Linked DNA regions of Stegostoma tigrinum. The protein of the gene in region 2 binds, or shares a complex with, the protein of the main gene of each other region. Links are inferred from orthologs where the notes say so. Each region holds a gene or a part of one and is shown on either strand. Other genes may lie near its edges. The genes, in order: cnot6l and cnot10.

Evidence for each region.
Region 1: cnot10 (region 2) and cnot6l share a complex: the UniProt entries of both Homo sapiens proteins name them as parts of the CCR4-NOT complex. The link is inferred for Stegostoma tigrinum from reciprocal best matches to the Homo sapiens genes CNOT10 and CNOT6L.

What each region holds. Positions count from the first base shown.
Region 1 is NC_081354.1:70,270,850-70,279,876, reverse strand, and holds the start of cnot6l (CCR4-NOT transcription complex subunit 6-like), read left to right. Parts: upstream 1-4,632; 5' UTR 4,633-4,826; intron 4,827-9,027. UniProt on the Homo sapiens protein: Has 3'-5' poly(A) exoribonuclease activity for synthetic poly(A) RNA substrate.
Region 2 is NC_081358.1:37,182,740-37,192,588, forward strand, and holds the start of cnot10 (CCR4-NOT transcription complex subunit 10), read right to left. Parts: upstream 3,968-9,849; 5' UTR 3,868-3,967; coding exon 3,828-3,867; intron 2,933-3,827; coding exon 2,835-2,932; intron 1,822-2,834; coding exon 1,660-1,821; intron 1-1,659. UniProt on the Homo sapiens protein: Component of the CCR4-NOT complex which is one of the major cellular mRNA deadenylases and is linked to various cellular processes including bulk mRNA degradation, miRNA-mediated repression, translational repression during translational initiation and general transcription regulation.

The DNA.
Region 1 (9,027 bases), on a different chromosome or scaffold from region 2:
AAAAGATTTGGTTGTTTGACAGTCATTTTGTCACGTCTACCATTGGAAACATTTTCTCTGTAAAGACCTCTCATGATGTTGAACAATTCTATCAAACCTTCTTTCAACCTTATCTCTCTAAAATGAACATGCCCGGTTTCTCTAATTTGTATAAGCAGCTAAAGATCCTCATTCCTGTTTTATTTAAGTAAATCTTTTCTGTATTCTCTCTAAGGCCTTTCTCATCTGCAGAGTGTAGTGCCCAGAATTGTGGCTGGACTGATGTTTTAGAAAGGCTTTTTTGTACTGTCTGATAATTTTGTCTGGATTATCATTTCTAAAGGCTACTCCAAAACCGAGATTGGCCTACGGTTGCTGGCTTTATTTTGACACCCTTTTGTGAGCAGGAGTAAAACATTTCAGTTCTCTAGTCCTTTGGTACTATTTCTGTATCAAAAAGAATTGTAAGACAATGGTCAGTGCTTCTGCAATTTCCAGCCGACTTGCCAAGCATCTTTGGACACTTACCTTGAACCTTGAAGTTTATCTATTTTAAGTACAGCCAGCCTTGTAAAACACACTTTTCATCAATTATTAGCCATTCTGAACTATTTCCATCTTTACTGTGATTTTCCTTTTTCCTGGTAAAGAGAGATGTAACATACTCGTTTTAGTACTTGGGAAATGACTTCTGCTTCCAAGCAATGCGTTTAGTTTAGTTTCTATGCCTACCTTTTATTAACCATCTATTCTTGCTTACATATCTATAATAAACATTTATATTCTTTTGGCCTTTTTTCACTTGGCTGCAGTTACAATAAAAATTCATTGCGCTCACTAGGAAATATCATTTAGAGAGAGAGAGAAGTTCCTTAGTGGGATCATGCATTCCCTGCCTGGGTCTCCTTGCCTATCCAGGGTTCACCTATTCCTTTTTTATCTCCCCATAATAAGACATGGGATGACACCCACTGGAAACATGCTTTCCAGATAGCCCTCAGATATGTGGATGCATCAAAGTGCCCTGAGCTATTGCTCAAGCATCAAAATCTGGAGCTCAGCTTCCAAGCTGACAACATTTCCTGCTCATATTGTTGACACAGACATGAGAAGCCCCCTGGAATTTCCACATGCTACAGGATATGTGTTTGACAGAGCTGAGGTACACTGCAATGTCTCTGTTTATTAATAACTTGCCAAGTTTGGGAGAAATAAAATTTAAATCTTGAAATAATTTAAGACTTAGAATTTATAACCTCACACTTTTAAACTGGTTGAATTATTCTTGTTTCTCATTTCAGATTCTTATCTTCATACTCACCCAAAATTACAAATTAGGATTCTGATACAAGTTTCTCTCTGCAGTGTGTCTGATGTCACTTTATACTCATAGATCACAGAATAACATACCAGCCTTGTCAACCCCTGCTTTAGAGGCAGTAAAGGTAGAAAAGCAAGGGAAAAAAAGCATTCTGAGGGTATGAAATAGAGGTAGTAATGAACGATGCCGCAACAGTGGAAGTAAGTAAAATTGTGATTGTGGATTGAAACTTAACAACAACAACATTACATTTATATAGCCATTTTATTACAATGAAAAATTCCAAGAAAATTCATAATAACATTACAAAACAATCTATGATAACAAATACGGAGTTGCTAGGTTGTATAACAAAATGTTTGGCCAAGAAGGTAGGGTGTGGGATGGCAGGGTGGGATACATAGGGGTCCATTGGAACCCAATGACCAGGCCTGTACGTTCTCGTGGGGACTTCCGCTGGGCTGATGTTGGGCTAGTGGAATCATTGTACATGTGTCAGGGTAGGGCTGGGTCCTGGAGCATGGGGTTGGATGTGGTGTGTATCCTTGAGGCATTGGCAAGACTGGTAGTTGCAGGCTACTGTGCTTAGGTTGGGGAAGTCGGGTCACTAATCAGGACCTGGGCTGTTTGGACTGGGGCCTCTTATGCTCAGATCAGGGTGGGGTTTCTGTACTTGTGCCTGGGATGGAGGTGCTGTACTTTGGTGGGGTTCAGTTTCCAGCTTGACATTTGGGCCCAGGCCAGAAATAGCACCACAGCTCATGTTTTCTGGCTTGGCCCTTACAAAATGATAGGTTTAAAATGTGTCTTAAAGATGATATTGGATTAGATTGTGGAAATATCTACGGAACAGAGGTGATAGCTGAATAGGACATTGTTGTGAATTATGACACAGGCTGCTGAGTTTCTGATGAGTTCAAGTTCAGAGAAGGTAGGATGCATGTAACCAGCCAGCAGTGTTTTGAAATAGTCGAGTTGGTGAAGGCATGAATGAGGGCGTCTGCACCAAATTAGCTGAGGTGAGATGTTAGAGAGGGGGAAGTAGTTAGTCTTAATGATTGTATAAATATGAGGTTGGCAGCTTGTTTTAGGAACAAATATGACTAAGTTTGTGAACAGACTGGTTAATCTGGGTGGAATCAGTATTTCGGGTTTGGAGTTTGCATTTGAAAATAATGAATTCAGTGCTTTCAGTATTTAGAAAATGGGAGTTATTTCTTCTCAACTAGCTTTAGCTGTTGAATAAACAATCTGATCATTTAGCAACAGTGGAAGAGTTGAGAGAAAATGTGGTGGGGTAGAGGTAGCTGTTAATGTAAAATTGAAATTAATACTTTGAATGATGTTGCTGAGGGGTAGTAGGTGGGTGAGGTAAAGGACGGGGCCGAGGGTAAATTCCTGGGGATGACCAAAAGTATTTATATAGGAGGACGAAGTGAAGCCACTGCAAATGATGGTCTAATTATGATTAGGTAAGTAAGAATTAAGCCATGTGGCAGCATTTCAGTCCTTGCTGGACAACGATGAAGAGATTTTGGCAGAGAATAGTCCGTTCAACTGTGGTAAGAATTGGAGAAATGCCAAGAATGTTGAGAAGAAATTGTGACTTTGATATTAGGGCCATTTTGAATTGTGGCAGGGACAGAATTCTAATTGGCTGAGGCTTGACTCAACTCTGAAGTTACATATAGACCAATCCTGGATGTATCATTTCAAATTAAACATTGGAAAGCCATTATCAACAGCCTTCTCCAGGAATTGGGTTGCTCATTCCATTCCCCACCTTGGCTATGCTGAAACAGTAACCAAACTGCTTATATCCATGGCATCTCATGTCACTTTGAGATTAGCATTCACCCCATATCCTCCCCATCACAAAGACTATTTCCACCTACTAATCTTGATCTGCTCAACTACTGGGAAAAGCCTCCCTATGCTTTGATTACATCTAGGCCTGTCCATTGCAACATAAAAAGTTGTATTTCTAACATGCATTAACATTTTAAAATCTATCAAATAACTTCACAGGAGCATTATAAATAAACCCAAACTCTAACTGACAGCTAATATTAGAGCTGTTGACCAAAAGTAGATGAGGCGAGAGCGATGCAGAATTGGTCAGTATGATGGAAGTGGACAAAAGTAATCTCAATCATGATATGGTTATCTGGTTGAAAATTCATCTTGGGATCAAATATTATACTATAGTTGTGTACAGACAATTGGCAGGGAAAGGAATTTGGTCAGCGGTGCAGGAATATGTTCTTTGACTTCCTGCCTTCCAATCACATGATTTTGACCTAATTCAAAAGAATGATTTCTGGATGCTAACCTACATAAAATCCTGAATACCTATCACATCTGTGCTCATTGTTTCCAGTCATCAATGCCTGAATTTTAAAACTTTTATCCTTTATTTAAACCTTTTGGTTTAAATTCTCACCCTTACCTGTCACCATCTGCTCCAGACTGCAACCTTTCAAGAGCTCTGCCTCCTCCAACCCCTTTGCGCCACGATTGGCACTTGTGCCTTCAGCTGTCCATGCCTCACAATTTGAAATTTTCTTTCTAAATGTCATGCTTTCCCACCAAAACCTTTGCTTTAAGATTTTATGAAACTACCTTCTGGACTGAATTTTTGGTCACTCCAAGTAACTTTTTTTTGCTTGTAATCTATTGTCTATGATTATATATTTTGAAGCGGATTGAAATGTTTCTTTTCTGTAGTACAAACATGTGCTATGCTGTCTGTACATATTGTAAGTGTAAAATGCTGTGTACATTTATGTACAATAAATATATTATGAACAGGGTAAATGTGAACAATAGAAAGTTTGTGCACACGACATTATGAACAGAGTATATGTGGTAAATATTGTGTACATAATACATTACTATTATTCTATGTGATCATACTTATTGTGGACTCTATATTTTGCAAGGTGTATCTTGTTCTCTGTCTATATAATTTGGTGTTATACACTATGCATATTTCACAAGGTTAAATAGAACGCATATTCTTTTATGTTCTATATCATTTCCCCACTTTTACCCATGGGGATAGAGCTGGGGTAGGTTTGATGGGCAGATTGGCCATTGTTCTGTAATTATTTTATGATTATGTCTGGATCCTGAACGTTGAATAGAGTATGTTTGTATTTCGTGACCACTGCATTTTTGCACAGAGTATATAAATTGTTTACATGGTCATACAGATGGTATTAATAGTATAAATTATATATTTTACATGTGTGTATGAACATTGCACACACGGTATAGATCACACATTTATATATATAGTGCACACCCTTTGCTGTACACCAGCTGCTAGGAGGGAGGCGGTCGGTGGAAGGCAGGGCCATGTCAGGGATTCAGTGAGTCCGCTTGGCTCTGGGTGTGAGGTGTGTGTTGTTTTGGTGGGGGGGCATCAGCAATCGGATCGCTCGCTGGCGGGGACGGCGTTGGTGTCTCTCGGTCTTTCCAGCGCCGCGTCTCCGGAGAGATGTGAGCGTCGCTCGGGCTGGAGGTGAGTCTGAGAGCTGGGCCTGAACCTCTCGGTTCCTGGGAGCTGCTGCCTGGGCCCTGTCTCCGGCCTATTGGCGGTTGAGGGGATACCCGGACCTGTGAGCGAGGCCCTGGGGCGGTGGAGGGACGGACAGACATTACAACTGCCTCAGCCCATCGCGGATCGGGGGTTTGAATCCATGTTTTCTTGTTTTGCTGGCCGCAAGAAGCGGGAACCTTGGGGTCTGTATTGATTGACTGGACCCTGAAAGGTAGCGATTGGGGCTTTGTTGCGGGAGGTTCGGAAAGACTTGGTGGTGAAGTTCAGGCACTTCCCCTTCACCTTAATGTTTGTATCGCGATCATAAACCTTTGCTCTGTAGATTTATAGAGTTCCACTTTTAAAGGCTGGAAATTCTATTGATGGCGTATTTGTGAGGGGGGAACTTTATTCTTAGGCAGCAAGTTTTAGAGTTTGGTTTGGTTGTGTTGTGGGCCCATTAGTGGAGAGCTTCAAGGTTTTAAGTGAGATCTTGTTTCCTGTCTCTGAGAAGATATCCTTGCAGAAGAGAAAGTAGAGAATAATAGAGAGGGATATTTTGCCAACTTTTTGATGCTGAGAATTTTCTGCGCAGTAATAACTAATTTTGGTTGCATTATATGTAGCAGACATATCAGCCTGACTTAAAAAGACCAGTGATACTCATTCCACGTGTAATGTAATTGTGTTTTGAGAATTTAAAAGTGATACTTATTATTAGATTGTGCTCTGAAAATTGAATTCAAAATGCTTTTCAACATTGCATCTGGGGTCATTGTAACAGAGGAGAACATTTGGCTTATTGAGTCTGTGCTAGCTCTTGAGCAGTTAGTCCTCTTACTATTTCTGGAGCTTTTCAAACTTATTTCCTCAAACACACCTTCTTTTGAATCAACTCTTTGTTTTTGTTTTTGCTGTTCTTATGCATATAAAGTTGCAGGTCATTTCCACTTGCTGGGGGATTTTTGAGATCTTTCTCCCAATCCACTGTGTGTCTTGCTGAAAGCTTCAAATATGTGCCCCTTAGACTCTGTATGATCAGTTCATGAGAACTGCATATTTTTGGCTTTTATAAGCCTTGTATATCTGTAAATCACCTGTTTCCTCAATGTTTAATTTTGTAGTTGCTAACCATGATGATTATTCATTTTGGGGGCCGATTTAGCTCATTCGGTTTGTTCAGAGTAATGCCAATTGCATGGGTTCAATTCTGCACTAGCTGTGGTTACCATGAAGGGCTGTCCTTCTCAGCCTCTCCCTCACCTGATGCATGTTGATCCTCAGGTTAAACCTCCACCAGTCACCTAACTTTGGGAGGGCAGCAGTATGGTCCGGTAGGACTGTAATGATTTTACCTTTTACCTTTTACCTTTACTCAGGTTCACGTGAGGCAGCATCATTTGTCTTCTGTGTTATTAATAGAACATGTTTTTTTTTCTTTCTTTCATGTAATAAACTTAAGATGTATCTAAGACAATTTTGCCATTGTAGGATCTAACTAAGTCTCAATGCATTCACCAACACTATCCTCCTACAAATCCTCAATTTCACAGAAATGTCACTCCTAGCTAAAGTCTTACGTTTTCACCTAACTGAACTCTCCCAGATTCTTTTCCTTGGACCACAGAGACAGTTTTACAATTCCTTTCTGAGATGAATAGTATGAGCCTTTGACAGTTCTGGTTACCTTCCAGTTCGAGCAATTTGAAGATTTCTATCAACACTGTACAGCTTTAGAAGCTCCACAAGGGAGTTTTTAAAAAAAAATTCATGAGCAGGGTGAGGGCATCACTGGCCAGGCAGCATTTATTGCACGTCCCTAATTGCCCAGAGGGCAGCTGAGTCAAGCATAATTGCTGTGGGTTTGGAGTAACATGTAGGCCATACCAAGTAAGGATGGTGGATTTCCTTCCACAGAGGAAATTAGTGAATCAGGAGGGTTTTTCCTGCAATTGACCGGATTCACTGTCATCATTAGACTCTTAGTGGATTTTGAATGCAATAAATATTTGGACCTATCTGCCGTGATGGGATTTGAAACAGGGTCCCTAGAACATTACCCACGTGTCTGGATTGACAGTCCAGCAATAATACCACTAAGCGATCACCTCCTTTGTGGTGTTGATGTACTGGTGATGTCACTGCAGAATCCCAGGCTAATGTTCTGGGGAAAGGAGTTTGAATTCCACTACGGTAGATGATGAAGTTTGAAATCAATTTAAAAAAATCTGGAATTAAAAGCTAGTTTAATGGTGACCATGTAATCTCTGTTAATTTTCATAAAAACCAATGTGGTTAGTTCATATCCTTTAGGGAAGTCGTCTGACCAATACATGGTTGCAGATCCATAGCAATGTGATTAACCTATAGGTTCCTTCTCTTTTCCAGCGGGGATCTGGGATGGAGAGTTTTGCACGCAGCAGTCCCATGCAAGTACACTGGATCCCAGGCTACACAAAGTTTTGGTGGCCTGAGTGAAACCATTTGTCACATTTATGTTGAATGTTTTCATTTGAAGCCCCTTTTTAGTTTTTGAAGAGGTCATTTCTAATTTTTTTTGGCTCTTCAACCCCATGTTCCTGTTTTACAGGCACCCAGTGTGGGGGAAGTGCAGACAGATCAGAGGGCATCCTTCTGGGTTAGGCCAAAGAGGCTTTAACAGATCCTGACAGCAGGCCATGGAGGTGGTCTTTGTGCCTGACTGCCCTTCATTTGCAGTCATGTCTGCACTTGGTTGGCCATTGAGAGGGAGTGTGCACTGTTCTCTCGCGTGCTAGATGCCTTTAGAGACCTTTAGATGGTACAGGGGCTGGGGTGCATCACCACCCTGGACAATATTATTTTGATTTAATGACTTGCTGTCAGTCGTTTATTTGCAGATTTTGTTTATATTTCCCCACAAAGAGCTTTTTGACTTGATTGAGTAGAAGCTCCATAAGCTAAAACACTTTGGCTAGGGTGACTGATTCGAATAAAAAAAACTTGACTGTTCCACCAGGAGAATTGTTCTCCCTTTTGAATGCACTTAATTTTTCTTTTCTGAGCTGAGACCTTGAACTTTTTGTAGTCAAAGCTGTACTTAAGATTTCTGCTCCTTTGGGCAGTGTGGTGGCACAGTGGTTAGCTCTGCTGCCTTACGGCATCAAGGACCCGGATCCAATTCTAGCTTTAGGTTACTGTGTGGGGTTTGCACGTTTCCTTCATGTCTGTGTAGGTTTCTGCTCTGATTCCCTGCCATAGTATAAAGATGTTGAGGTAGGTGGATTGGCCTTGGGAAATGAGGGTTATAGAGATGGTGTGTGATAGGTCTGGGTGGGATCCCACAGAATCAATACCTGTTGAGAGCAACAAAATCCTCATCTTTGTCTGAAGTGGGTGACCCTTTATTCTGAGATTATGTTCTCTGGTCATAGAGGTCTATCCAGAGCTCAAGGAAAGGCCATTTGGCTCATTGAGTCTGCCCTGGTGGAAAATCAACCACCTGACATTATAATCCCAGTTTTCAACATTTGATCCATAGCCTTGTATGCCTTGGCATTGCAAATGCACACCTAAATACCTCTTAAATGTTATGAGGGTTTCTTTTCTACCAACCTTAGATGCAGTGAATTCCGGATTCCCACGACCGACTGGATGAAAAAAAAGACCTCACATCCCCTCTAAATCTCCTGCCCCTTAGCTTAAATCTAAGCCTTCTGGTCACAGCTCCTTCCAATAAGGGGAAAGGTTCCTTCCAGTTTACCCTATCTGGGCCTCTTACTTTATACATCCCAATCATGTACCCCCCCCCCCCCCCCCCCCCCCGCCAACCCCAGCCAAATCTTCTGTATTCAAAGACAAACGACACAGTCAATGTAATCTCTCCTCATGATTAGACCTCTACAGCTCAGTCAACATCTGGGTAAATCTCCTCTGCACGCTGCCCAGCGCAAACACATTTCTCCTATAATGTGGATTCCAGAACTGCACACAGTACTCTAACTGTGACGTAACTAACATTTTATGCAGTTTCAGCATAACCTCCCTGATCTTGAACACAATGCTTTGACTAATAAAGACATGTATGCCATATGCCTTATTGGCATATCACATTACCCACCTGTTCTGATGTCTGAAGCGAATGGTGGATCTGCTGACAGAGGTCCCTCTGAATCTCGGTACTTCCCAGGGTGCTCACATTTGT
Region 2 (9,849 bases):
TGAGTATTTGCAAATAGCATAAATCAATTAAAAGGATACAAAATAAGATTGGAAGTTTCAGTTAAAGAGAGATATGGGCACAATAAATAAGAAGAGAAAGCCATTTGGCCCCTCAAGGCTCCTCAGTCATTTAATAAAATCAGGGCTAATCTTATTGTTGCCTTAACTCCACTTTCCTGACTATCTCTTGATCTTAGGCCCCCTCGTCAACCAAAAGAGGGTCTAATATAGCCCTGAGCATATTCAATGACCTGGCACAAAAACAAAAGTTGCTGGAGAAGCTCACCAGGTCTGGCAGCAGCTGCAAAGAAAAAAAAAAAAATCAGAGTTAACGTTTCAGGTCCAGTGACCCATCCTCAAAACTGACAGCAGTTAGGAAAACGTAGGTTTCATGCAGAAAATAGTGAGTGGGATGGTGTAGGGAGTAAACTATAGGATAGAGCCCAGAGAGAGACAAGAACAGTTGGGTAGACAAAGGAGTTGCTAACGTTCTGGGTAGGAGGGTGAATAGCTGTTAATGGGCATTGTTAATGACATAACAATAGGTAGTGTGCAATGGCAGGCTTTGTGATAAGGCCTGGTGTCTGGGGTTGGAGTGGGGGGCGGTGGGGGAAGCTATGGCATGGGAGATTAGGCCTTAAAATTATTGAATTCGATATATTGAGTCTGGAGAGCTGCAGGGTCCCCAAGTGGAAAATGACGCGTTGTTCTTCCAGCTTGCATTAAGCTTCGCTGGAACACTGCAGCAAACCAGAATTAACTCCGTTATTTACAGCATCAGCAGTTATTTCGGTTCTTATTTAATGACCTGGCCTCCACTGCTCTCTGGGGAAGGGCATTCCAAAGACTCTAGGCCTTCACAGCTTAAATTCCTTCACATCTCAGCTTTAAACAGGAACTTACATGACAATGGCAAAACAAACTGACTAGTCTAATTCTATTTCAGAGAAAGCGGGAACTGCAGAATGTGAGATGACAAGGTGTAGAGCTGGATGAACACTGCAGGTCAAGCAGCCTGCTCCTTTGTTGCTGCTTGGCCTGATGTGTTCATCCAGCTCTATACATTGCTACGTCTAGCCTAATTCTGTTACAATTTTGCAATTTTAAATGGTCGAGTACACAGATGACATCAACTGACAGGGGAAAATTAACCACGTGGTGAAGAGTTTAAAATTATTAAGTGTATGAATTAGGAAATGGCAAAAACCATTTGATGCTGGATGAAAAGTAATAATTGATGCAAGGTACCAGATGTGATTCAGCAATTATGGCTGCAGTTGTTATACTGTAGTACCCCATTAAATCATGCATTGAGATGTTGTTTTAAAACAAAAAGGCCTTTTTGGGGAGGCTGTCTCAAAGGACATTCTTTACTAACATCTCATACAGAATACACAGAGTTAAAACAACATTGTTTCAGAGATAGTAGGAACTGCAGATGCCGGAGAATCTGAGATATCAAGGTGCAGAGCTGCGTGAACACAGCAGGCCTAGCAGCATCAGAAGACCAGGATGGCTGACGTTTCGAGCCTAGACCTGAAGAAGGGTCTAGGCCCAAAACGTCAGCCTTCCTGCTCCTCTGATGCTGCTTGGCCTGCTGCGTTCAAACAATTCGACACCTTGGTATCTCTTAAAACATTTACGGTTTATCAGTTTTACCTGATTTTTCAACAGGTTGAGAGTCTGCCTTAAGGTATCTGTCAAAGTCTGTCCATTTTTGTAGAACTCTGCCACCGCTTTATTCAGAGATATTTTGTAATCATCTTTGTTCAGCTCTTGCAGATGACCCAGATATTGCAGACAAGCGTCAAACTGTCCGGACTACGGCAAAATTAAGAAAATGTATATAAAATCAACCGCTGTTTGCAGCAAACAATTTTCTGGAACTTCATAGTTCATACATCCAAATAAACACTGATGCAGTTTTAATAAATCACAGTATGTAAGATGCTGTTAGGGGAGGGGAAACAAATGAAATAGACCGACTGGTGCACTCGGTAAACAAGGAGCGAGCACATTGAATCCTGTCATCCTGATAACAGCTGGAAATTTCTGTCATACCTCAAACTGTAAATTCCCATACTCCGTTCTATTGAAATAGAAAACAAGCTAACTTCAACAATTACCATTTTAGAAATTTTGACTCAATGTGTCACAGATGTTATCACACACCTCTTAGAGCAGACTTGAACCCAGGTGTCCTGACTCAGCAGATGAGGACACTACAGACACTACAAGAACCACCAATTTTTTTTCTTCTTACCAGGACTCAAAATTGGATGACAGCATGTGTACATGCGCATGCGTGTACTGTCTTGTTCTTGACCCATTATCACATTGTAACAATAACAGCAAACAACAGGAAACTGCTGAAAATGTTACATTATGATCATTTGGTCAAAAAATCCTGAAGAACAACTTTATGATATAGTACAATATGTGCAAATATCATTACTTATGATCATTTAATTCGGTGTTATTTACATGGAAATAAATCTAACTGCTGCTACCTGTGTTAAGTTTCAGAAAAAGGAGCTCAATTCATTTCCTATTCAGTGGTGTAGAGAATAACAGTACCATGTTATTCCCTTGCATATCACACTTCAGGCATTAAGTTTCAGATTATAGAAGACACACAGCTGTTTATGGAAGTGTCTTTTTCTATTGACACGAACAGCGTGGAAGACTATGCTAATCGTAACAACTCAAAAGCCTGGAACAAAAATTAACTGGCCATGAAATTCAATCAACGGAATTAATAGAAAAGAAATATTGCAATTGTCTTGGCCCATGAAACTTGATTTCATGGTAACTCTTTATAATGTAATACTTACAGTGTAAGCCTGATAAGCATTGTTTGCAAGCTCCTTGACATGGTCAGCAACCCCTGAAGAAAGAGAATTACTCTCTGTTTTCACATCAGTATTCTGATCTACAAAACAAAACAAAGACATTTATTTAGCATATCTGTTTCTCATATTACAATTTCTTTCCTCACATTCTAAAAATCTGCAGTTTCTTCTGAACCAATAAAAACTTAGCTAAAATCAGTCTTGAGCTTCTGCAAAAGTGAAGGAATTTTTCATCTCATTCATAAACTCCTTATCATGGGATTACATTTTCACCACCTAGCCAGGGAGAAACAGTCTGTCAGCCCATACCCTGTCAGAATTTTATCTGCTTCAATGAGATCACCTCTCATTCTACAAAACCCAGAGAATGTAACTACAAACCAAAATCAAAACAACTCATTTAGAGGGGTAATGAATAAATGTTTTGAAAGAAATTGAAATGGATGGTGACAACAACAGGGGTATAATCAGCTTGAGCATTTCAGTGAAGAGTTTTAGCTGGCATTGAAAATTACATAGTTGTAATTTATGCATTTCAGCATATTTTACAGAAAACATCACTTCAGTTAAAAATTTTTAACTACCTCAACAGTTTTTTTTAAACATGCTTACTCTGTCACTGAGCAGTCAGGACAGCACTATCTGTCTTATGGCACAGAATGAGGCCATTTAGTACAAATACAGTTACCCAGCTTAACCCACCTTGCAGCACTTAGTCCATAATCCTCTTTGGTTCCAGCAAATGAACATGAAAATACTTTTAAAGTCTTGTGAGATTGTGTGATCTACCATCCTTCGAGACAGACAGGTTGAGACTCCAACTGCTTTGTGGCTAAACAAATATATTTCAGATTCTAGACTGGAATTGATTCACCACCTTCACAATTCACAAGTGTCCGTCCCCGTACGTGTGCGCACACGCACACGCGCACAAACACACACACACAACTTCCTTACCGACCCTAGACCCCTCACCTCCATTACTCGCCGCAGAAGGATCTGACATGATTCCCATTCACTTCTTCCGCCCCCCCTCCCCAGGACGGGGAAGGAGCCCAAGCCCCAGAGCCGGGTAAGGTGTAGTACCGTGTACCCAAGGCCCCGCCGGAAATCAGTCATCCAGGCGCATCTAATGAGCGTCACTTCCTGTAAGAGGCTATCCTTGGTGCATCTTGTATATTCATTACATTACAGTGTAATACACCCTAAAGAAATATAATATGCAATATACCAAATCCTATGGAATTATAATGTTGTACGCTATACTGTAGGAAATATCAAATATTGCATCGCGTATAGGATGCATTGTAAAAATAGAACATACAATTAATGCACCTGGTCCTGTGGTGATATTTGATATGCTTAAATGTAAAAAATAGAACAAGTCCGTCCATTAACAATATTGAACCCATTAGCTATCCATCACATCAATTCTTGGATAAAAAACGTAAAGAGTATTACAGATAATACTCTTTATCTGCTCTAGCAGTTTAATGAATGGGTTTAGTAGTGGAAAAGGGAATGAGCATTGAAGTTATAAAATATTACAAATAAAATCTCAATTATATACCTCATTGTCCATATAAATTATGTTAAAAGCAAGGTGAGGACATTTCCAGTAGAAAGTGGGACAATATTAAACAGGAAATATTAATTTAGAAACGAAACATCGAATAATACGACCATGACGGGTGGAGAATATGTTTGAACAAGGTACTGAATGAATTTATAGATAATACGGAATATTTGCAAACTTTGAATGAAGATTTCCTCCATCTCAGTACTAAGTATTCAAATCCTTATCCTGACAGTAATGCAGAGAGGGTGGTCAATACCATTTCCATTTCATAGGAATGAGCTGGATATAGGAAACAATTATAAATTGAACTCTGCAGACATGTAAAACACAAATTCCAATGCAGGTTTTTTTTAAGAGATTAAATTCCCTACAGTGTGGAAACAGGCCCTTCGGCCTAACAATTCCACCCCACCTTTTGGAGCATCCCACCCAGATCCATCCCCCTAAACACTATGGGTAATTTAGGATGGCCAATCCACCTAGCCTGCACATCTTTGGACTGTGGGAGAAAACCCATGCAGACACAAAGAGAATGTACAAACTCCACACAGATAGTAACCCAAGGCTGGAATTGAACCAGGGTTCCTGGTGCTGTGAGGCTGCAGTGCTAACCACTGAGCCACTGTGCCACAGGTTACAAAGGAGTACTTACACGCAATTGGGCAGATAAATGCAAATATAAACATTAAAGCTGCTACATGTTGGGAGGACAGTGAGGTACACCATGGAGGGGTTAGGATCAGTGACATAGACTGTCAGTGTATCGGTCATTCTCTGGGTCATTCTTGGTCTCTCATTACGATTTATTCTTTTCCTGTGAATCTCTCTGTATGGCTTACTGAAAACAACAAATGCTGGAGGTCACAGTGGGCCAGACACCATCCTTGGACAGAGAGCAAACTAACATTTGGAGTCTAGACGACTCTTCATCAGGGCTCTGATGAAGAATCATCTAGACTCAAAACAATAGCTTGTTCTCTCTCCATGGATGCTGTCTGACCCGCCGTGATTTCCAACATTTGTTATTTTCAGTACAGATTTCAGCATCTGCAGTAATTTGCTCCTCCATTCTCTTTATAGCTTACTTTGTCTGGATCATTGACTTTCTATCAGTTATTTTCTCTCTCTTGACCACTCTGTATGTTAAATGATAGAAAACAGAGGGTAAGTATAGATGGGTATTTCTCAGACTAAAGACAAGTTGTCAATGATGTTTCCAAGGGATCAGTGTAGGGATTCTTGACTTTTCTGATTGATATAATTGACTGCTGAGATGGTTGCTGAGGACAAAGTCTCTATATTTGCAGAGGATACTAAGCTAAGAGAATTGCAAATTGTAAAGATGACGTTGAGTGACATCAGGGAGACAATGCCAATTTGGCAACCTGGGCAAATGCCTGGCAGATGAATGTCAATGCATACAAATGTGAAGTAACACATTTGATAGAAGAAACCTGGAAAGACATTACAGGCTGAATGATACAACTTTAAAGGGAGCACAGGAGCAGAGGGACCTCAGGATTCAAGTGCAGAATTCTCTGAAAGTGGCCAGGCAAGCAGATCAAAAAGAATTAGAGGCATACAGGTTTCATTGCAGGTTGCGTTATTTGAGGCTAGAGTCCAGAGTCCATTCATCAGTCTGATAATGGCCGGAAAGAAGCTGTTTCTGAAGCTTGTGCATGTGTTTGGGTTTCTGTGTCTTCTGCCTGATGTAAGAGGTTCTAGGAGGTCATAACCAGGGAGCAATGTGTCTTTAATGATGTTGACAGCTGTTATGCACCTGTGAGCTGTGTAAATACAGTATACAGCATAAAAGCAGGGAAGTAATACTACGTCATTGGTCATATTAAATCATTTGTCAGATCATATTTGGAACATAGTGTTCAGTTCCGGGCTCCTTATTTAAGGAAAGGTATTAAAGCCCTGGAGAGAGTGCAAATGACACTAGGAATGACAGAAATTAGATAGAAGATCATAGAAATTGAACTCACTCTCCCTACAGCAGAGAAGACAAAGTGTTGCCCTTTCAAGGTATTCAAATTTTAGAACAATTTTGACAGGGTAAAGGAGGTATTCTGTTTCTACCATTTAGTGTATCAGCAACTAGGAGTTACATTTTCAAGATTGTCAGCGAGAGGACAAGGAGTAAGATGAGGAGAAGTTGTATCAGTGATAATGGGAACTGCAGATGCTGGAGAATCCAAGATAATAAAATGTGAGGCTGGATGAACACAGCAGGCCCAGCAGCATCTCAGGAGCACAAAAGCTGACGTTTCGGGCCTAGACCCTTCATCAGAGAGGGGGATGGGGTGAGGGTTCTGAAATTTTTTTTATTCCAGAACCCTCACCCCATTCCCCTCTCTGATGGAGGGTCTAGGCCCGAAACGTCAGCTTTTGTGCTCCTGAGATGCTGCTGGGCCTGCTGTGTTCATCCAGCCTCACATTTTATTATCTCGTAAGATGAGGAGAAACTTCTTTACTCAGAGACTTGTTTGGATTTGGCATGTGAGATAACAAGGTGTCGAGCTAGGTGGACACAGCAGGCCAAGCAGCATCAGAGGTATTTGGCATGCGGTGCCTGGGATGGAGGTGGATTCCATAGGATATTTAAGAGAGCTGAATATATATTTGAACATGATGAATACAGAGAGCTATGGACACAGGGCTGGAGAATGGGACGAGCTTGTTCAGGGGCCAGTGCACAAAAAGCCTTCTGCTGTGCTGAAAAGTTCTATGATTCTGCCCACGGATCCTTCCCTGAAGGTCTCTCACTATCTGGGAGCTTACTTTGTCCAGACCACTGTCTGTATGTTACATTCTCTCTCTCTTTGGGTCACTCAACTAGTTTCTGCTCTCTGGACTTCTCTCAACTGATTATTCTCTCTCGCCCTTTCTTTCTGGGTTTCTATCCAATAGTCACTCTGTCTCTCTCTCTCCCCCCCCCAAAAAGTTCTTCTCCCGAACAGTCACACCCTCTGGACCTCTCTCCAATGTCACTCACTCTAACCCTTTCTTTTTAGGCTCAGATATTCAGTCTCTCAATTAGTTAGATTAGAGGTGTCAGTGAGTGGGGGTAAGTGAGTGTTATAACAACAACATTCTCTCAGAGTCCCCACTATGTAAACCATCATCCAATTCTTATCTACTTGTGTAAAGTAGACTTGTACTTTTAAAAGACACATTAAATTTCAGAGAATGCGTTAAATTATGTGGGTTTATGTTTGAGAGGAGGAAAAGCTTTAAACCCATGCCTGGTTTTCTGCTAATACTTTCCAGAAAGTGTGAGGCAGCAGCTGTTAGCTACTCAGTACAAACAGCATTCATGCATGAGCTTAGCCAAGAATTGGCAACAGTCGGTTTGACAGAGGCTTAACAAAGGTGATTCTCATCCTGCTTTTGCTCAGTGTCTAGGTACCGTTTATTTAAGCAGCGGTCAGTTGAGTGCCTTCAGGGGACGACCTTCCTGATAAACTACCAGACTGCTCCTTTATCTCCCCTCCCGACTCAGCTCCTTCAGCATCCTGAGTCTGACTAAACAATCCATTGCAATCTTGCCAACTAATTTAGTTCAGTCCAGTGATTGAGTGGAAAAGAGGTTCTGAGCTTAATGTCCTTTCTCATCAACTATTGAATTTACTTACTGTTGTATTGAAAAGGGGTCCTTGTGTTAAATAGCAGAATGCTGATGCCACTCATGGCGAACTTTGTAGATCAGTGTCTTCAGGAAGATAGAGGACGAAAGACTTAGTGCTGAGGATGGTTTTTCCTTTCCTAGATTTAAAATTTCCTCAAGAGCATTTACAACCACCAACATCAGCGTGTACTCCTGTTCCTGTATTTCCAAATAATTCTGAGCATCAGACATTGGCTCGGCCTGTAAGTCTGCAGTTCATGTATACCTTTTGTGACCTGTAATTCTGCTGAATTTACAGTGCTTGTGTTGGTATGGCTTTTTTAAATTTATATTGGATGAATTGCGCTGCCCAGAGAACACTTTAGGTATGCATCCCACTGGAATAACAAAGCTCACTTATAAATCAATTCATTCCCTTTCCTAGAAATAAAAGATTGCTCTATCCTGCTTGAATAATACACCTTGCTTCTTCATAAATTGCATTGCTTTGAAACTTCCGTCCCACTCAAGGTTTGCGAAACTGAGAGTATGGTTTTGTTCTTGTTGCTGCAGACAGCAGTAACTTTCTGTTGATCTTTCATAACACAAGCACTGAGGTGGATTATGATCCAGGAAACTATCAGAGAGATGTGTCATGAAATTTGTGGGAAGGTCGAAAGAAATGGATACATTCTTAGCTTTGATATCTTGTGACTGAGATAACTGACCTGTAATGCATGATTAGCCTAGATGACACACAGTGGCACAGCAGTTAGCACTGCTGCTTCACAGCGCCAGGGACCCGGGTTTGATTCCAGCCTCTGGCATCTGTGCAGACTCCGCGCAGACATTCTCCCCGTGTTTGCATGGGTTTCCTCCCATAGTCCAAAGATGTGCAGGTTAGGTGGTTTGGTCATGCTTAATTCAGGAAGGTGTAGATTCGGGGGATGGGTCTGGGTGGGATGCTGTGAGGTTCGCTGTGGACTCGTAGGGCTGAAGGGCCTGTTTCCACACTGTAGGGATTCTATGACCAATTCACAACTCCCTCCTTCTCAGTAAAGGACCCGCCCTTTGACCTTTCTTCCGGATCCTCTTTTTTCAGGCGCCGCAACAGTTCTGGCCGCTAACACTGGGCGCCGCTCGCATTGCAGCTGCGCAGGATCGCGAGCGGACACGGTTAACGGTTAGAGCTCGGGGTTTTGGGGTGAGTGCCCGGGATGGCGGGCTGAAGAGAGGTGGGGGGGCTCAGTGAGTGCCCGGGGCGGGGGGTGAAGAGAGGTGGGGTGGGGTGGGGTGGGGGGGTGAGCGCTCAGTGAGTGCCCGGGGCGGGGGGTGAAGGGAGGTGGGGTGGGGGGTGAGCGCTCAGTGAGTGCCCGGGGCGGGGGGGTGAAGGGAGGTGGGGTGGGGGGTGAGCGCTCAGTGAGTGCCCGGGGCGGGGGGGTGAAGGGAGGTGGGGTGGGGTGGGGTGCTCAGTGAGTGCCCGGGGCGGGGGGGTGAAGGGAGGTGGGGTGGGGTGGGGGCGCTCAGTGAGTGCCCGGGGCGGGGGGTGAAGGGAGGGGAGGTGGGGTGGGGGCGCTCAGTGAGTGCCCGGGGCGGGGGGTGAAGGGAGGGGAGGTGGGGTGGGGGCGCTCAGTGAGTGCCCGGGGCGGGGGGGTGAAGGGAGGTGGGGTGGGGGGTGAAGGGAGGTGGGGTGGGGGGTGAGCGCTCAGTGAGTGCCCGGGGCGGGGGGGTGAAGGGAGGTGGGGTGGGGGGTGAGCGCTCAGTGAGTGCCCGGGGCGGGGGGGGGTGAAGGGAGGTGGGGTGGG